3 linked regions of the Canis lupus familiaris genome follow. The protein of the gene in region 1 interacts with the protein of each later gene in a pairwise test. Links are inferred from orthologs where the notes say so. Each region holds a gene or a part of one and is shown in the gene's direction. Other genes may lie near its edges. The genes, in order: SUPT20H, MAPK14 and ATXN1.

Evidence for each region.
Region 2: the proteins of SUPT20H (region 1) and MAPK14 interact in binary tests that used the Homo sapiens proteins (3 or more experiments, as listed by UniProt). The link is inferred for Canis lupus familiaris from reciprocal best matches to the Homo sapiens genes SUPT20H and MAPK14.
Region 3: the proteins of SUPT20H (region 1) and ATXN1 interact in binary tests that used the Homo sapiens proteins (3 or more experiments, as listed by UniProt). The link is inferred for Canis lupus familiaris from reciprocal best matches to the Homo sapiens genes SUPT20H and ATXN1.

Annotation. Positions count from the first base shown.
Region 1 is NC_049246.1:3,746,508-3,751,476, forward strand, and holds part of SUPT20H (transcription factor SPT20 homolog), read left to right. Parts: intron 1-254; coding exon 255-287; intron 288-774; coding exon 775-892; intron 893-2,066; coding exon 2,067-2,169; intron 2,170-2,307; coding exon 2,308-2,466; intron 2,467-4,184; coding exon 4,185-4,491; intron 4,492-4,969. UniProt on the Homo sapiens protein: Required for MAP kinase p38 (MAPK11, MAPK12, MAPK13 and/or MAPK14) activation during gastrulation.
Region 2 is NC_049233.1:5,326,088-5,331,588, forward strand, and holds the start of MAPK14 (mitogen-activated protein kinase 14), read left to right. Parts: upstream 1-1,667; coding exon 1,668-1,783; intron 1,784-5,501. Other genes in the region: SLC26A8 (testis anion transporter 1), read right to left, coding at 797-851. UniProt on the Homo sapiens protein: Serine/threonine kinase which acts as an essential component of the MAP kinase signal transduction pathway.
Region 3 is NC_049256.1:16,755,740-16,759,819, reverse strand, and holds the end of ATXN1 (ataxin-1), read left to right. Parts: intron 1-2,180; coding exon 2,181-2,711; 3' UTR 2,712-2,803; downstream 2,804-4,080. UniProt on the Homo sapiens protein: Chromatin-binding factor that repress Notch signaling in the absence of Notch intracellular domain by acting as a CBF1 corepressor. Binds to the HEY promoter and might assist, along with NCOR2, RBPJ-mediated repression. Binds RNA in vitro.

The DNA of each region.
Region 1 (4,969 bases):
TACATCAGTTTTGTGCCAAAATACATCTCCCTTAAATCAGCCAAATTATCCACAGAATTATTTTATAATGCATGCAAAACTTGGTCATTGCTTCATAAGTTTAAATGTATTTAATAATTTTTTTTGTAATATCTCTGTAGATTGACTCATTTTATAAAACTACAGTCACTAAAATATGGAAGCCTTCAAAAGTATCCCAGGGCTCCTTAAGACAACTCTTAACATAATACTTTTCTCTCTTTTAAACACTTCAGGTTTGTTATTGGATCGAAGACTGATGCTGAGAGGTAAAAATATTTGCATTTTTATCTTTAATCTGGATGGATATTAAAAGCTTCACTTTTAAAGGATTTCTTATGGAATTAGGAAAATAACACAAGAATAATGTTTAAAATACAGTGTATTTTGAATAAGAAAGCATAGATAAAATATCTATGGTAGCTCAGGAGGATAATTTCTAAGTATATAATCAGAATGTGAGTGAAAGTCAGTGGGTAATTTCTTTAGCTGCTAATTGGTTAAATAATCCCTGTAATTCCTGTATTAGAAGGAAGATACTATATGTTTATCTTTAGATTGTTTATTAGCAAAATGTTTTGAGTAGCTTGTTGAAAAGACTAGAAGAATGTACCTTTGGTGCAAAGATAAATTGTCTAGTTTGAATCTTTGTGTTAATTTTGGTGGAATTTTTTTGTTAACAGTTATTTATTTCCTATAAATTTGTGTTTAGAACAGAGTTAGCTAATCTTTACTCATTTACTCTTCATATTCCAGGGTAGTCAATCAGTACCAGGAATTGGTCCAGAATGAAGCCAAATGTCCAGTCAAAATGTCACACAGCTCCAGTGGCTCTGCCAGCTTGAGCCAGCTTTCTCCAGGGAAAGAAACAGAAGTGTGTTGGATGACTCTTTTGTCCTTATTTGTTTTTCAAAGAATCTAAGAAATGTTAAAGACTTTTTTTCAAGGGATGGGGGTATTGTGTAGTATTTAACTTTTTATTTTTTTTTATTTATTTTTTTGTGTACTTTTTTTATTGGAGTTCGATTTGCCAACATATAGAATAACACCCAGTGCTCATCCGATAAAGTGCCCCCCTCAGTGCCCGTCACCCAGTCACCCCTACCCCCCGCCCACCTCCCTTTCCACCACCCCTTGTTCGTTTCCCAGAGTAAGGAGTCTCTCATGTTCTGTCTCCCTTTCTGATATTTCCCACTCATTTTTTCTCCTTTCCCTTTTATTCCCTTTCACTATTTTTTATATTCCCCAAATGAATGAGACCATATAATGTTTGTCCTTCTCCTATTGACTTACTTCACTCAGAGTAATACCCTCCAGTTCCATCCACATCGAAGCAAATGGTGGGTATTTGTCGTTTCCAAAGGCTGAGTAATATTCCATTGTATACATAGACCACATCTTCTTTATCCATTCATTTTTCCTTGGGCACCAAAGCTCCTTCCACGGTTTGACTATTGTGGACATTGCTGCTATAAACATTGGGGTGCAGGTGTCCTGCCGTTTCACTGCATCTGTATCTTTGGGGTAAATCCCCAGTGGTGCAATTGCTGGGTCGTAGGGCAGATCTATTTTTAACTCTTTGAGGAACCTCCACACAGTTTTCCAGAGTGGCTATACCAGTTCAAGTATTTAACTTTTTATAATGTAAACTTTCAAGTATACACAAAGGTAGAAGGGTATAATGAACATCTATCTGTGCATATTAATCACCTGGCTTCAACAATTTACTATTTTCCCTGGAAAGATTTAAGAGTGGAAGCTTTGCTTTAGAGTGGAAGTTTACCTATCTGACCTTCCTCAAACTGTCTGCCCACCTTACTATCTAGAAATCTTCATTTTTTATATATACTATAATTTATTTCATGGATCTTCTTATGTGAAATTATGTATTTTTTTAACTCTCACACCCAATCTATAACAATAAGAGTACTTTGCAGAGTTTTAAACTGTGTGTTCTCATCTAGAAGCTATAGTGGCATTAATTTATGAATTTCTGATTTGAGCTTAATTTAATTTTAACAAGTATATTTAATGTCCCTGTCTCTTAGCAGCCTGAGACTGTGTCAGTTCAGTCTTCAGTATTGGGAAAGGGAGTAAAACATCGACCTCCACCCATCAAACTTCCCTCAAGCTCAGGAAATAGTTCTTCAGGTATTAAATTCTTTGTTGTCTGTAATCTGGAGTAAAACATGTCACACAGTCAAAATCTGTTTTTAAAACTTCATATAATGACTTAGTTAACAGAATTTTGAATTGTAAGTGTAGAAAATAACTTTTATATTCTTCTAGGTAACTATTTTACACCACAACAGGCCAGCAGCTTTCTAAAATCTCCAACTCCTCCTCCTGCTTCCAAGCCACCAAGTCTTTCTCGGAAGTCATCTATGGATCTCAATCAAGTTAGCATGCTTTCTCCAGCTGCCCTGTCACCTGCCAGCTCATCACAAAGTGAGTTATAACTTAAATTCCTCATAAGCTCTTCATTAGCTTTTTGTACTTAGTGTTTCTTAAAACAGCTATTTTTTTTTTGACCAGTAAAATTGAAATCTAAATGTACTATGTACCCAAAATGTATAAATTTTGAGAAGCTTCAGGCAAATCTCTTGTTGATTGTATGTATTTTGTGTTTATTGTAATTGTATTTGTTTTTCTGTATCTGTGTATGCACTGTGTGTATACCTTATAGACTTACAACCTACACATATCCTTAAAAAGATGTTAGCCAAATGTGGCAATAAGATTCCAAAATACTTTTTATTCCAGTGTACCCTAGGATCATGTTACATTTTATGTAAATTATATAGCTGATATGAAAGGAAAAATGTCATACGAGTTGTTGCTGCAGTCCTATTTGTGTATGTAAGAAACCAACTAGTTCCAAGGTGGTGATAGAATAAACTGAAAGCTGATTTTTCAGAAACACTCCTACACTCTTAAAAATTGTAATCAGTTACTAAAATGTGGTAATCATAAAGCATTATTCTGAAAATATTAAAATGTAATTTTTACTACTGAATACTTTTTTTTTTAACATCAAGAAGACTTATGCAAGAATTCTAGCATTCAATTGGGAAGATTTCTTCAAATTAGAGATTTCTGAGATATTTAGGTATCAATTTGAAAAAAAGCATTCCAGTTTTTTAGATTTTTTTATAGATAACTAAAGTGTGCTGAAAGTTTTATACACTGCACAGTGATAGAGTGGTCTTCGCCTTAGATATAAACATCTTCATCTTGATAGCTCAAAAGGTGTAATTTTTCTGCCTTCTTGTTTTGCACAAAGAAAAATTTATAAATTTCCTGGAAGTCTTATTCACACTTCTTATGTTGTGGGTATGGATTATGTTAATCTACTGCACACAGTTGTTACTTTAAGTAAGGGTTGAGTGACAGCTTCTGGACATTCACATTTCTTTCCTTTCTTTCTGCAGGACATGAAAGCTAAAAAAGAAAACACCTCAAGAGCTTTTGGTTTTATTTTTTTGGTTTTTGTTTTTTGTTTTTGTTTTTTTTTTAAAAAGTTGATAAACTGTGCATACTTCATTCACAACAGATTTTCTATACATTCTTACATTTAAACAGAAGTACACAGTTACTGTTAAAGATGCAGTATTATCTATCAAATATTTGCTTTATTACTGCGTTTTGTAAATTTGTTTGTCAGGATAAACTTGATGTGTTAGGAATTAAACATGTACATTTAGGTGCCAATTATGATTGTTAACCATATGTAATTTATTAAGTATGTTCAGAGTTTATCTCAGACTGTTACAGAAAAGAAGCAATATTTTTAAGTGAAGTTCTAAATTAGTGAAATCGTAAATAACAAAAATTAATTTGAATTCCTCTTAAAGTTTTTAGGCCAAAGGTAGCATGTAGGAAATTAACTTTTAAATGGGTATTGTGGTAGAATACAAATGTATATTTTTACTGTTACTGTAATAGCATCTCTGATGGAATTTTTAGGTGATATACTGCATCCTTAATTGTAATTGAGTGTAGCAACACTCATGTATCATGTGTAGAAATTAACACTTGCAGTTAACTGCTTAAAAAAAAAAAACTGGAACAAATTGTCAGTGCTAAGTAAGATTCCATTAACCTTATTTTAAAAAGGACTGGCCATTTATAACAAACTAGCAATTTTTATTTTTCTCAATGAGCAGGATCTGGAACTCCTAAGCCATCTACTCCTACACCAACCCCTTCATCGACCCCACACCCTCCTGATGCTCAGAGCTCAACTCCTATTACCCCTTCAGCCACCCTTACTCCCCAAGATTCAGGCTTCACCCCTCAGCCCACTTTGTTAACTCAGTTTGCTCAGCAGCAAAGGTCTCTGAGCCAGGCAATGCCTGTAACGACCATTCCTCTTTCCACCATGGTAACATCCATAACTACAGGAACCACGGCCACCCAGGTCATGGCAAACTCTGCTGGACTTAACTTCATCAATGTAGTGGGCTCTGTTTGGTAAGTTTGCATTGATGCCCTGGTTTTGTTTCTTTGCTTTGTTTTTTGTTTTTTTTGTTTGTTTGTTTGTTTGTTTTTTAAGATACTCTCACTGTGATGTAAAGAAATTTTTGTGAAATTAACAAATTGCATATTTCTGAAACTGAAAAATAGTTTACATGTGGATAGAAACTATCTCAACAAATCTGTTTTAGTTTTAGGTAATACATGTATTACATGCACTAACCTAATATTACACATTGACAGCAGCATAGATTTTCCTGTTTATCCTCAGCATTGCCATCTTTTAATCCCTTGATTAATGCTTTTATTCTTTCAAATTATCTTTTCAACCCTGGTAAATATACAGTACTTAATTTTAGATAATCTTGCTGTAACTATCTAGCATAAAAATGAAACAGAACCCCAAAACTGATGTTTAAAACCAAGATACCTAATTGTGTTTGTGTAGTAGTTTGTTTTTTAATCCAAGGAATTA
Region 2 (5,501 bases), on another chromosome or scaffold:
ATGACTCTGGTTTTTATTTTTGTTTTTCCTTGAGGAGAACTGAGGATCCTGCACTCTCTCCTAAGTTGAGATCATGGTCATTATTCATAATTTGTTCAATAAATATTTATGGGGTACCTATTATATTCTAGGCACTGTGCTAGGTGCTGGGACAAGATATGCAAAATCTGAGCATTCTAAAGGATGCACGACACGAAAGAGAATAATCACGGGAAGGGTTGAGAGGTGTCCTGGCTTGGACCCAGTTACTTCTAAGAGACATTGTAACAAACTTTAACAAAGGAATAAGTTGGTTACAGTGGCTGTAGGCATGGTTATATAGTATCTTGCTCACTCACACTTACTATCTTGTTCAGCTTTACAGGTAACCCTATTAGGCGCGGATGTAAGGCAGGAATTACTTTTGCAGAAGCTGGAACTAGAGTCTAAGAGAGGTCAATAGACTTGCCTAATAGGACACCCTCTGCCTTGCTCTCCTTAACCTGAGGCAAGAATCAAGCTTCAGAGCAGGATTCAGTTTCAAACCCTCAGAAGTACTCTTTTCAAAAATCCTTCTCCAAGGGGGATGCGGGAGACTTTCCTGAATCAGAACTGCCTGGAGCATATTATAAAAATGCGCGTTCTTGGCGCCTATCACCGACCTATCCACTTAGACTCCCTGTGGGTCCTGGGACTTGGCTTTTTTTTTTTTTTTTTTTTTTTAACACTCCAAGTGTTCTTTTGCACATAAACGTTTAAAGACCGTTAGGAGAGTTTGGGTGGAAAACCTCAGACTTAACGTAGAGCTAATACTTGCTTTCGGGATAGGGTCCGTCACAGTTCCGAAGATTAAGCCGTATGTCCCCGAACATGGAATAACGGCTTTCTGGCTGGAACCTTCCTTTTCCAAATGTAAGTATTTCTTGGAAGTTGGAGGTTCTGCTGAGCAGATGCTCGGCTGCTGGTGACTACCGGCAGTTCAAAGATCTTTTGGCTCTTTTCCCGACACCCTATTAGTCGCCGTCGCCTCCCGCCACGGAGCCGGGCGTTTGCCCCGCCGACCACGGTGGGGCGCACGCGGCATACGTTGCCTGCCTGTCCCTCCCTTTCCCGGGTCCGCCTTCGCGCCCTTAAGAGCAGTCCCCGAGAGTTCCTGCCTCTGGTCTCCAGCTGTTGCCCTTTTCTCGCGAGAAGTGCTCCTCCCATCCTCTCCGGTAGTCCACCCCCTCCCGTGGGCAGGTTCCATATTGGGTAAAATCTCGGCTCGCGGAGAGTCCCGGGAGCTGGTCTCGCGAGAGTACGGCTAGCGACTCCTGTTCGCTGGCTCTGGAACGGCGATCACTGGAACTTGAGCGGGCGCTGCAGCTGGAGCCGCAGTTCCGCGGCGCAGCCCGGGGTCGGCCTGGTCGGGGAGAGGGTGCAGGGAGAGCGTGGTGGGCGCAGCCCTGAGCCCCGCAGCCTGCCCCTGCCCTTCACCGGGCTCGCCCGGCAGCTGCGGCTGACAGGGGCCGCGCGCGCGGGAGTCGGCGGGGTCGCGTCTGCCGCACCTGCGCCGACTGCCAGCTCCGGGTCCCCGCCCGGCCCGGCGGGCAACGAGGGCCCGGGAGCGGGAGCGGGAGCGGGTGCGGGTGCGGGCGCAGGCGGGGCCCCTCAGGGCCACCTCCTAGCCCCGCGGCCGCCGCTGGAAGATGTCTCAGGAGAGGCCCACGTTCTACCGGCAGGAGCTGAATAAGACAATCTGGGAGGTGCCCGAGCGTTACCAGAACCTGTCCCCGGTGGGCTCCGGCGCCTACGGCTCCGTGTGGTGAGTGTCACCGGGCTTGGGTCTGCGGCGGGCTTGGTGGCCTCAGCACCCCAGAACCAGGCCTGCCCACACAGCTCAGCGATGCACCAAGCGGTAGGAATTTTCTCTGGGGGAGGGCATCGTTGCCCATTCGACCCCTGTGCTGCACGCCCGGGACCCCCTTGCACCCCTCACTCTGCACCCCCAGGGAGGCGGTCGGCTGTGTGCAGGATGCAGGTCCACGGTGGGCGGTGGTGCTGGAGCTCGGCCCTGCCTCGCACCCTGCGCAATCCCTTCTGGGGGGGTGGCTGCTCGGGGGAGGGGGGCTGGCACAGAGGCCGGGGCGTCTCTCCGGGGGTGGGGGGTGTCTCCCTGCCAGCCTCGAGCCGAAGGAGCCTCTCCGGAGGTGCAGCCACTCTGGGCGCGCGGGAGCCTGCCCTCCAAGCAGACAAGCCCGGGGGGGCTGCAGGGAGAAGCAGAAGGGCCAAGCTCTACGGGAGACTGCGAGCGTCGGAACAAAACTGACGACCAAGGGCTTTCTGCCCTGGCTTTTTTTTTTTTTTTTTTTTGCAGACCTCTTTCGAAATCTCATTTCGAGAGGCATTCTTTTCGAATTCGCACTTGCATTAGCAGCGACCCAAAGAACCGAAAATACCGACTTTATCTCGGCCAGCCTAGTGCCAGCTTGAGTTGTGTGTTTCCGATTCTGTTGAAAGCGTATTTCCTTTTCGCTGAGTGGGGGTGGGTGGTAGTGCCTGCAAGAACACTGCAGCTTGAGAAACTGGCGGCTTCACTGATTAGTCACATACCACTGCTCATTTAAGTATTGTTTGGCAAAAACAGTTTTTTCACTTGGAGCAAGTGAGATTCAGATCCGTTGGACGCGCTCAAGATCAAAGAATCATGAGCAATCTGGGGAGGTATTGTAAGTATTTCTTAATTGCAGTACATCTTGTGAATATTGTGTTTTTAAACTTCTTTAGAGAGTTCGCAGGGAACTGATCTACATTTGTAGCCTGAGGTACACGATGGTTTTCATAAGGATAGGGAATATATAGCAAAGGAAGGGAGAGACACTTCTCAGCTTTAATTCACACTGTGTTTTAAATTAAATCGATCCAATAAAATTCTTGGATCTAAAATATTTCACTAGTTTAGGTATTACACACCATATTTTAGAGTTACTGTAACTTGAGAGCTGCTGATCTGAAACTAATTCCTGTATTCATGTGAATCATTTGAAAAGGGCTCCATAAGATTTTGGGAGGGTGGGGGTGGGGGTGAGGGAAACGAATTCCAGACTTTTGGATGTGTTAATCTTTATAATTCTTGTGTTTCTTAAAGTCACATCATGAATTTCCTGTTTGCTAGAATCTTCTGGGTAATTGAGATTGTGCAATTGTGTCAAGCAACAGATCATATTGCATTTTCTAGTTCAAGCTGCGTGAGTTCATCTTGCTGATGGTCCCGTGCTTGACATCTTTTCCTCATTTTTATAATATGGCAGTTTACGTTTTAAGGGAATTTGCAACATTTTACTGTATCCATCTATATGTGTGATTGATTTGCAAATTTTCAGAGATATATTTGGATCATGGCTCCTTTAATAGCTTATTATTTTACCACTCTTTTTCATTCTGTTATGTCATAATTGACATTAATTTTCGTAGTACCAAGTTTCTGTTTCCAATGATGTTTAAACTTTAATGAAATGATACAGCAGAATAGCTCAACTATGGGGAGTTTAGTGGACCTGAAAACAACTGCTTGCAAGGTCTTCCTACTGTTGGTATGAATAGCTCTGTCCTGGAACTGCAGATTCAGATTTAGAGTGAAGTATCATAAAAATGACCTTTACATTTCCTTAGTACTATACTTTTTTGGCTTACAGAAGCCAGAAATATCTGACACTTGGAAGTGATTTTGTTAAACATATTTTAAAAAATATGTATAGAATTATATACACATTGTATAAAATTCAAAAGGCGTAAAAGGATATTTAACGAAAGGTATCCTTTCCTTTCTTGTTCTCCAACTGTGCTATTCCTTTCCTCTGAGACAGCCCCTGTTAAGTTTCTTATGTGTCTTTACAAGGAGGCAGAGCCCATTCATTTGTTTTTAGTAGTATTTCTGTTGAGGGATTTAAAGTGTGACATATGGTATATTGGTGGAAGAGAATGCATCTTATGTGTGTCAGTTGACTATGGCAAATATAATTGATTTTGGATTGAAAATATCAGAATTTAGATATACATAAGTAAGTGGCATCTCATTCAGAATTATTTGAAGTTATTCTTTCAGTTCTTTCAGATTCTTAGCAGTGTTTTGGGTGTTGCAGCAAACTTTTTTTTTTTTTTTTTTTTTAATTTCTCTTACAGCATTCTGGAGCCTGTGTTATTTTTCACTGCCATCATCCTTTAAGAACAGATTTGATTTTAGGGAATAAGAAAATCAAGCTGAATTCAAATAATTTAGAGAATTTGTACTCAAGTCTGGCGAGAAAGATTAGGCATTCAGGTTGGTCTTGTTTTAGGTCAAATAGGAGTTATAACTATAAAGTAATGACAGAATTTCTTGTGTGACTTGTAGAACTGGATCTGAAGTCTGTTCCGAAAAAGAATCTCTGAAAGCATTTTAAGGAATGCAACCTCACGCAAATATCTGTCAGTTTCCTAATTTGATTGCTCCTAAGTGTGATATACTTTGATGTATATTAAAAGTTTTTTATGTTAAGCCTATTTTCTCATTTTAATTTTCACTAAGTCTACAGTAAAAAGGCAAGCAGCAGCCTGTATGCTATGAATCCAAGATCAAGGAATCAGACTAGAAATTGAAAATTGATAAGGTTTTATTTTTTTAATTTTTCAATTTTTTAAAAAATTGATAAGGTTTTATAATATACCTTTCCTTTTTAAAAGGTAAAGGGAACTAAATAAGTCTTGCAGTTTTAAGGAACTTTGTTGCATTGTCTGTGAGGGGAAATGAAGCAAAATTGTTTAAGAATACTTTGTTGCAAAGCATTGATTTTCTGGTTTTGGGACAGAAGGAGGGACTCTTTGTGGTGAGTTTAAGGAAATATAAACAGGAACTTAAATGCCTTTCCTCTGGGTATGGTTTTTCCAGACCCTTGCTGTTGATTAGAGGAGGTGGGGCCCTGGTAGCCATAAAATAGGTAGCCATAAAATAAAAAATACTCTTAAGTCATAGTCCTTTGTTGATTCAACAACACTGAATACCAGCTACGGACTAGATAATGGGCTAGGTTTCATGAGATAGAGTGCTGAGCAAGACAGTGAGATAATCCATTCCCTCGTCAAGCTAAGTCTAATGTGAATAAAAAAACTACATTTTATGGATTGCTTACTGTTCTAGGCATTTTACTGTGTAGTTTATATTTATCACGAGTGTATTTAGCCTATGCAAGATTTTTTAGTGAGAGGATGGCAAAACTTACTAAGAAATCAAATCCAGCTTCCTAAATGCTCTGTGGAATAAGACTGTATATACATGAATATAATAAACAAAGCTAAGGTTTAGTGTTAATAGCCATTCACTGTTTTAAATCTTTTATTCTTTTCTTTTAGGATGAGCCAGGGCACAGATAAATGAAAATACATCATTATTGACTATGCAAAGATGACTTTCTTGACTCCTAATCAGTAAGAGGGGCCTGCCCTTTACTTTTCTGGTGACGATAGTAGGCCCTTACTGAACTTTCTTCCCATTTGCTTTTCTTTGT
Region 3 (4,080 bases), on another chromosome or scaffold:
CTCTACCTCAGAAGTCCCTGTGGGTCTGTTTCTGTTATCTATTGTTTCCACTGTTTGTTTGTTTTCATGTCCTCTGGTCTGTTCATGGACCTCATTCCTCTTTTTTGAGTGTGTTTTATTTGAAAAACTGTGGAAATAAAGACCTTAACCCAATTTTAGGGCCTTAGATGATTAAAGTCTGAGCTTCAGACCCTGAGAGGACCTGTGTACTTCTGGTTCATCTTACTCCTAGAGTATAGCCCTTAGCACTTTGGGGTCACAGCCCAAAAGAATAGAGCTCACCAGAAAGCATCCTCCCTTAATACACCTAAAGGGTGCCCTGAATTTCATTCCCTACTCTCCTCCTCTCCCCACCTCGCAACCTTCCCCCACGCCCTCTTGAGATTACCAGAGGTCTACTTGGTTTTGAAACTGCTCAAGGTCGCAATGTGCAAATGCTTTCAGGGAAAAATAATCCCAAACACCAGGTTTAAATCTCTCAGCTATCACCCTTCCCTGAGCCTTACGTGGTTGGTTTTTCATTATCTTCTTTTCTGTCTAATGCAATCAGAAATAAGTTTTTACATTTCACCCTTAGTTTTTGTTTGGTTGGGTTTTGTTCAGAGTATTTAGTTGTCCTCAGTAAGAAGATTGTTCCAGATTACCTAGTCTACTACCTCTATAAAAGCTATTGAAAGTTGACTCTTTCAAATTACTTCATTGTTCTTTTTCTTTTTTATATAGCATAAAGTTGAAGAAAATAAATTTCTATGAAAATTAAACTGTTAGAACCTCAAGTGCATTTCAACCTAATTCAATGGCAACGGTAGGGCTTTCACTGGACACTATCTCCTTGCCTATGCTCACCTATCTCCGCTTCCAAGAGTGGGTTCCCATTGCAACCGCACCTGTACTCCACCCCCGTTATGTTTGAAAACTCAGCACAGTGTATCCTCATCCAAGAAAACTCCCTTAATCACCTCTTCTTCAAACTGGTCTGTGCCTTTCCTCTGCCCTCCAACAACCTGATACTGGTATTAAAGTATTATAACCCCACTCACCGTGTTGATTGGCAATTATGTTCATGTGTCTCTTTTGGCCACCGATTGTGAGCTACTTTGGGACTAGGACTAGGGCTGGCTTTTTCCGTTTATTTCCTTAGCACAATACACAGGTTGCACATGATGATAGAGAAGAGAGCAACCTATTGAGAGGATATTGAGCTTCCCCACTTTTGGTATTTATCTTCAAACAAATGCACGGGCTGATTTGAGTACCTGGTGCTTGACCTTGGATGGGCCAACTACTTGAGCTCTCTGTGTCCTAAATTTTATCATCTCCCCAACATTGTCCACCCCTCAAACCTCTCCAAATGCTGCCCAGCCCTCAGCTCGGGTAAACAGGGAAGCCCTCTCTGTTTACTGTGTCTGCTCCTTTCGATTCTTGAGTACACACTCATTTACCCAATAAATATTTATTAAGCTTCCACCATATGCCAGGTGCCCTTTTAGGGGCCAGGGATATAGCGATAAACAGGTAAGGGCTGCCTTCCGGAGCTTGTATACAGTCTCACTCTGATCCCTAATTATACAAGAATAGCATTTGTCCAGCGAGCTGATAAAAGTGCAAGACTTTTATCTTGTGCTCTCGCTTGAGTCCCCTGCAGAGCCTAGCTTAGTACTAAACACCAAGTACCTGTTCTGGCGTCCTTGGGGACCGATCCATTTGTTTTTAATTTTATTTATTTATTCATGAGAGACACAGACAGAGAGGCACAGATATAGACAGAGGGAGAAGCAAGCTCCCTGCTGGGAGCCCGCTGTAGGACTTGATCCCAGGACCCCAGGGATCACGACCTGAGCCAGAGAGGCTGATGCTCAACCCCTGAGCCACCCAGGTGGCCCTGGATCCATTTGTCTTAAAGGAGGCCGGCTAGAGAGCCCATAGTTAGTGAAATGATATTCTGAACACTAAGTGGACTTTTACTGGCTTCCCCCCAACACCCATATACGGTTAAGTACTGGTGCAACCAAAAATTAAGAGCCTCCTTTGTGTGTGTTGGTGGATGAGGTTTGTGGAAGGAAGTCTTATTTTTTTTTCCTCCTCATTTTGCTTATGCCCAGGCGGCAGGCAGTGTAAGACATAAAACAAGAATAAAGCATCCTCCTCATCCTCCTTCCTCTCTGTCTCTGTTTCCACAGGTCAGCGTGGAGGTTTTGGTAGAGTACCCTTTTTTTGTGTTTGGACAGGGCTGGTCATCTTGCTGTCCAGAGAGAACCAGCCAGCTCTTCGACCTGCCGTGCTCCAAGCTCTCCGTTGGGGACGTCTGCATCTCGCTGACCCTCAAGAACCTGAGGAACGGCTCTGTTAAGAAGGGCCCGCCCGTGGATCCCGCCAGCGTCCTGCTGAAGCACTCAAAGAGCGACGGCCTGGCAGGCAGCAGACACAGGTACGCCGAGCAGGAGAACGGCATCAACCAGGGAAGTGCCCAGATGCTGGCCGAGAATGGCGAACTCAAGTTTCCAGAAAAAATAGGATTGCCTGCAGCGCCCTTGCTCACCAAAATAGAACCCAGCAAGCCCGCAGCAACGAGGAAGAGGAGGTGGTCGGCCCCGGAGACCCGCAAACTGGAGAAGTCGGAAGACGAGCCACCTTTGACTCTTCCTAAGCCTTCTCTAATTCCTCAGGAGGTTAAGATTTGCATTGAAGGCCGGTCTAACGTAGGCAAGTAGAGGCAGCGCGGGGAAAGGAAACTCGGCTCCCCCTTCTCATTTGTATCCAGATTACTGTACTGTAGGCTAAATAACACAGTATTTACATGTTACCCTCCTTAGGTTTCTGTTATAACCTTGTCATTAGAGTTACAGCCGGTGTCGCGCAGGAGACTGGTGCACGCGCTTTCCCACGAGGGCCTGGCCCGGCCGTGAGCGCGGCAGGTGCAGGTGGAGGGGGCCGGGCGCGCAGCCCAGGAAGCCCCCGCCGCTCGCCCCGAGGATGCTCGGAGGGCGGGGGAGCTGCAGGGGGGCGGGGGGGGGGCTCGCGTGGGCTCCCGCGTGGGCGCGTGCACGCGGGGAGGGGGGCACAGGTGCACGGCCGCCGAGGCTCTCCGTCCTTCCCTCGGCCTCCCCCTGCCCCCCTGCCTCTTGCCCTCCGCCCGGGACTGGAGGCCCCAGGGGGAGCATCCTCGTGAGGTCCTCCTCCCGTGCAAAGCCGACATCAGGAACCCCGCTCGCCGCAGGGCATGCTAGAGAGGCATCAGACAGCCCGTGGAAAGCTCCCCGTGTAAAAGAACCTTCTTTTTTTTTTTCCTTCCTCCAACATATTTTACAATAAAAGCAACTTTTAATCCTATAGATATATATTTCCCCCTATGGGGCCTGACTGCACTGATATTTTTTTAGAGCAACTGCCACACGTGGGATTTCGTTTCTGCTTTACTTAGTGCAGTGATGTCTCCAGGGTGTCAGGGTGGGCAAGGGGGGAGGGGGGTGGGCGGCGGCGGCAGGAGTAGCAGAGAGTGGACACCCACTCGGGATTCCGTGCAGTGTTAGGAAAACCAATCAGGGGATCACGTTGACTTCGCTCCCAAGAGGTAGACGCAAACTGCCCTTCTGAGAGCCGCCGAAGCTCTTCGCATTGGGTTTGCAAATTTTGTCTTTTAACTCTAGTACTGTTTATAGTTCATGACTATGGACAACTCGGGTGCCACTTTTTTCAGATTCCAGTGTGACGTGAGGAATTAGATTTTGAAGATAAGCATATATATTACTATCTCTAAGCACTTAAAATGCTGTTCACACTTTATTACCAAGCATCTTGGTCTATCATTCAACAAGTACTGTATCTCCCTTTAAACTCTTTGGGAAGAAAAAAACAAAACAAAACAAAAACAAAAACAAAAAAAAAAACTAAGTTGCTTTCTTTTTTTTTTTTTTTCAACACTGTAACTACATTTCAGCTCTGCAGAGTTTCTCACGAGCAAGATATTGGAAGTTTCAATGTGGTTTAAAGGGATGAATGTGAATTATGAACTAGTATGTGACAATGAATGACCACCAAGTACAGCCTCCCAGAAGGCACTTTTCACTTTGATGTTTGAGA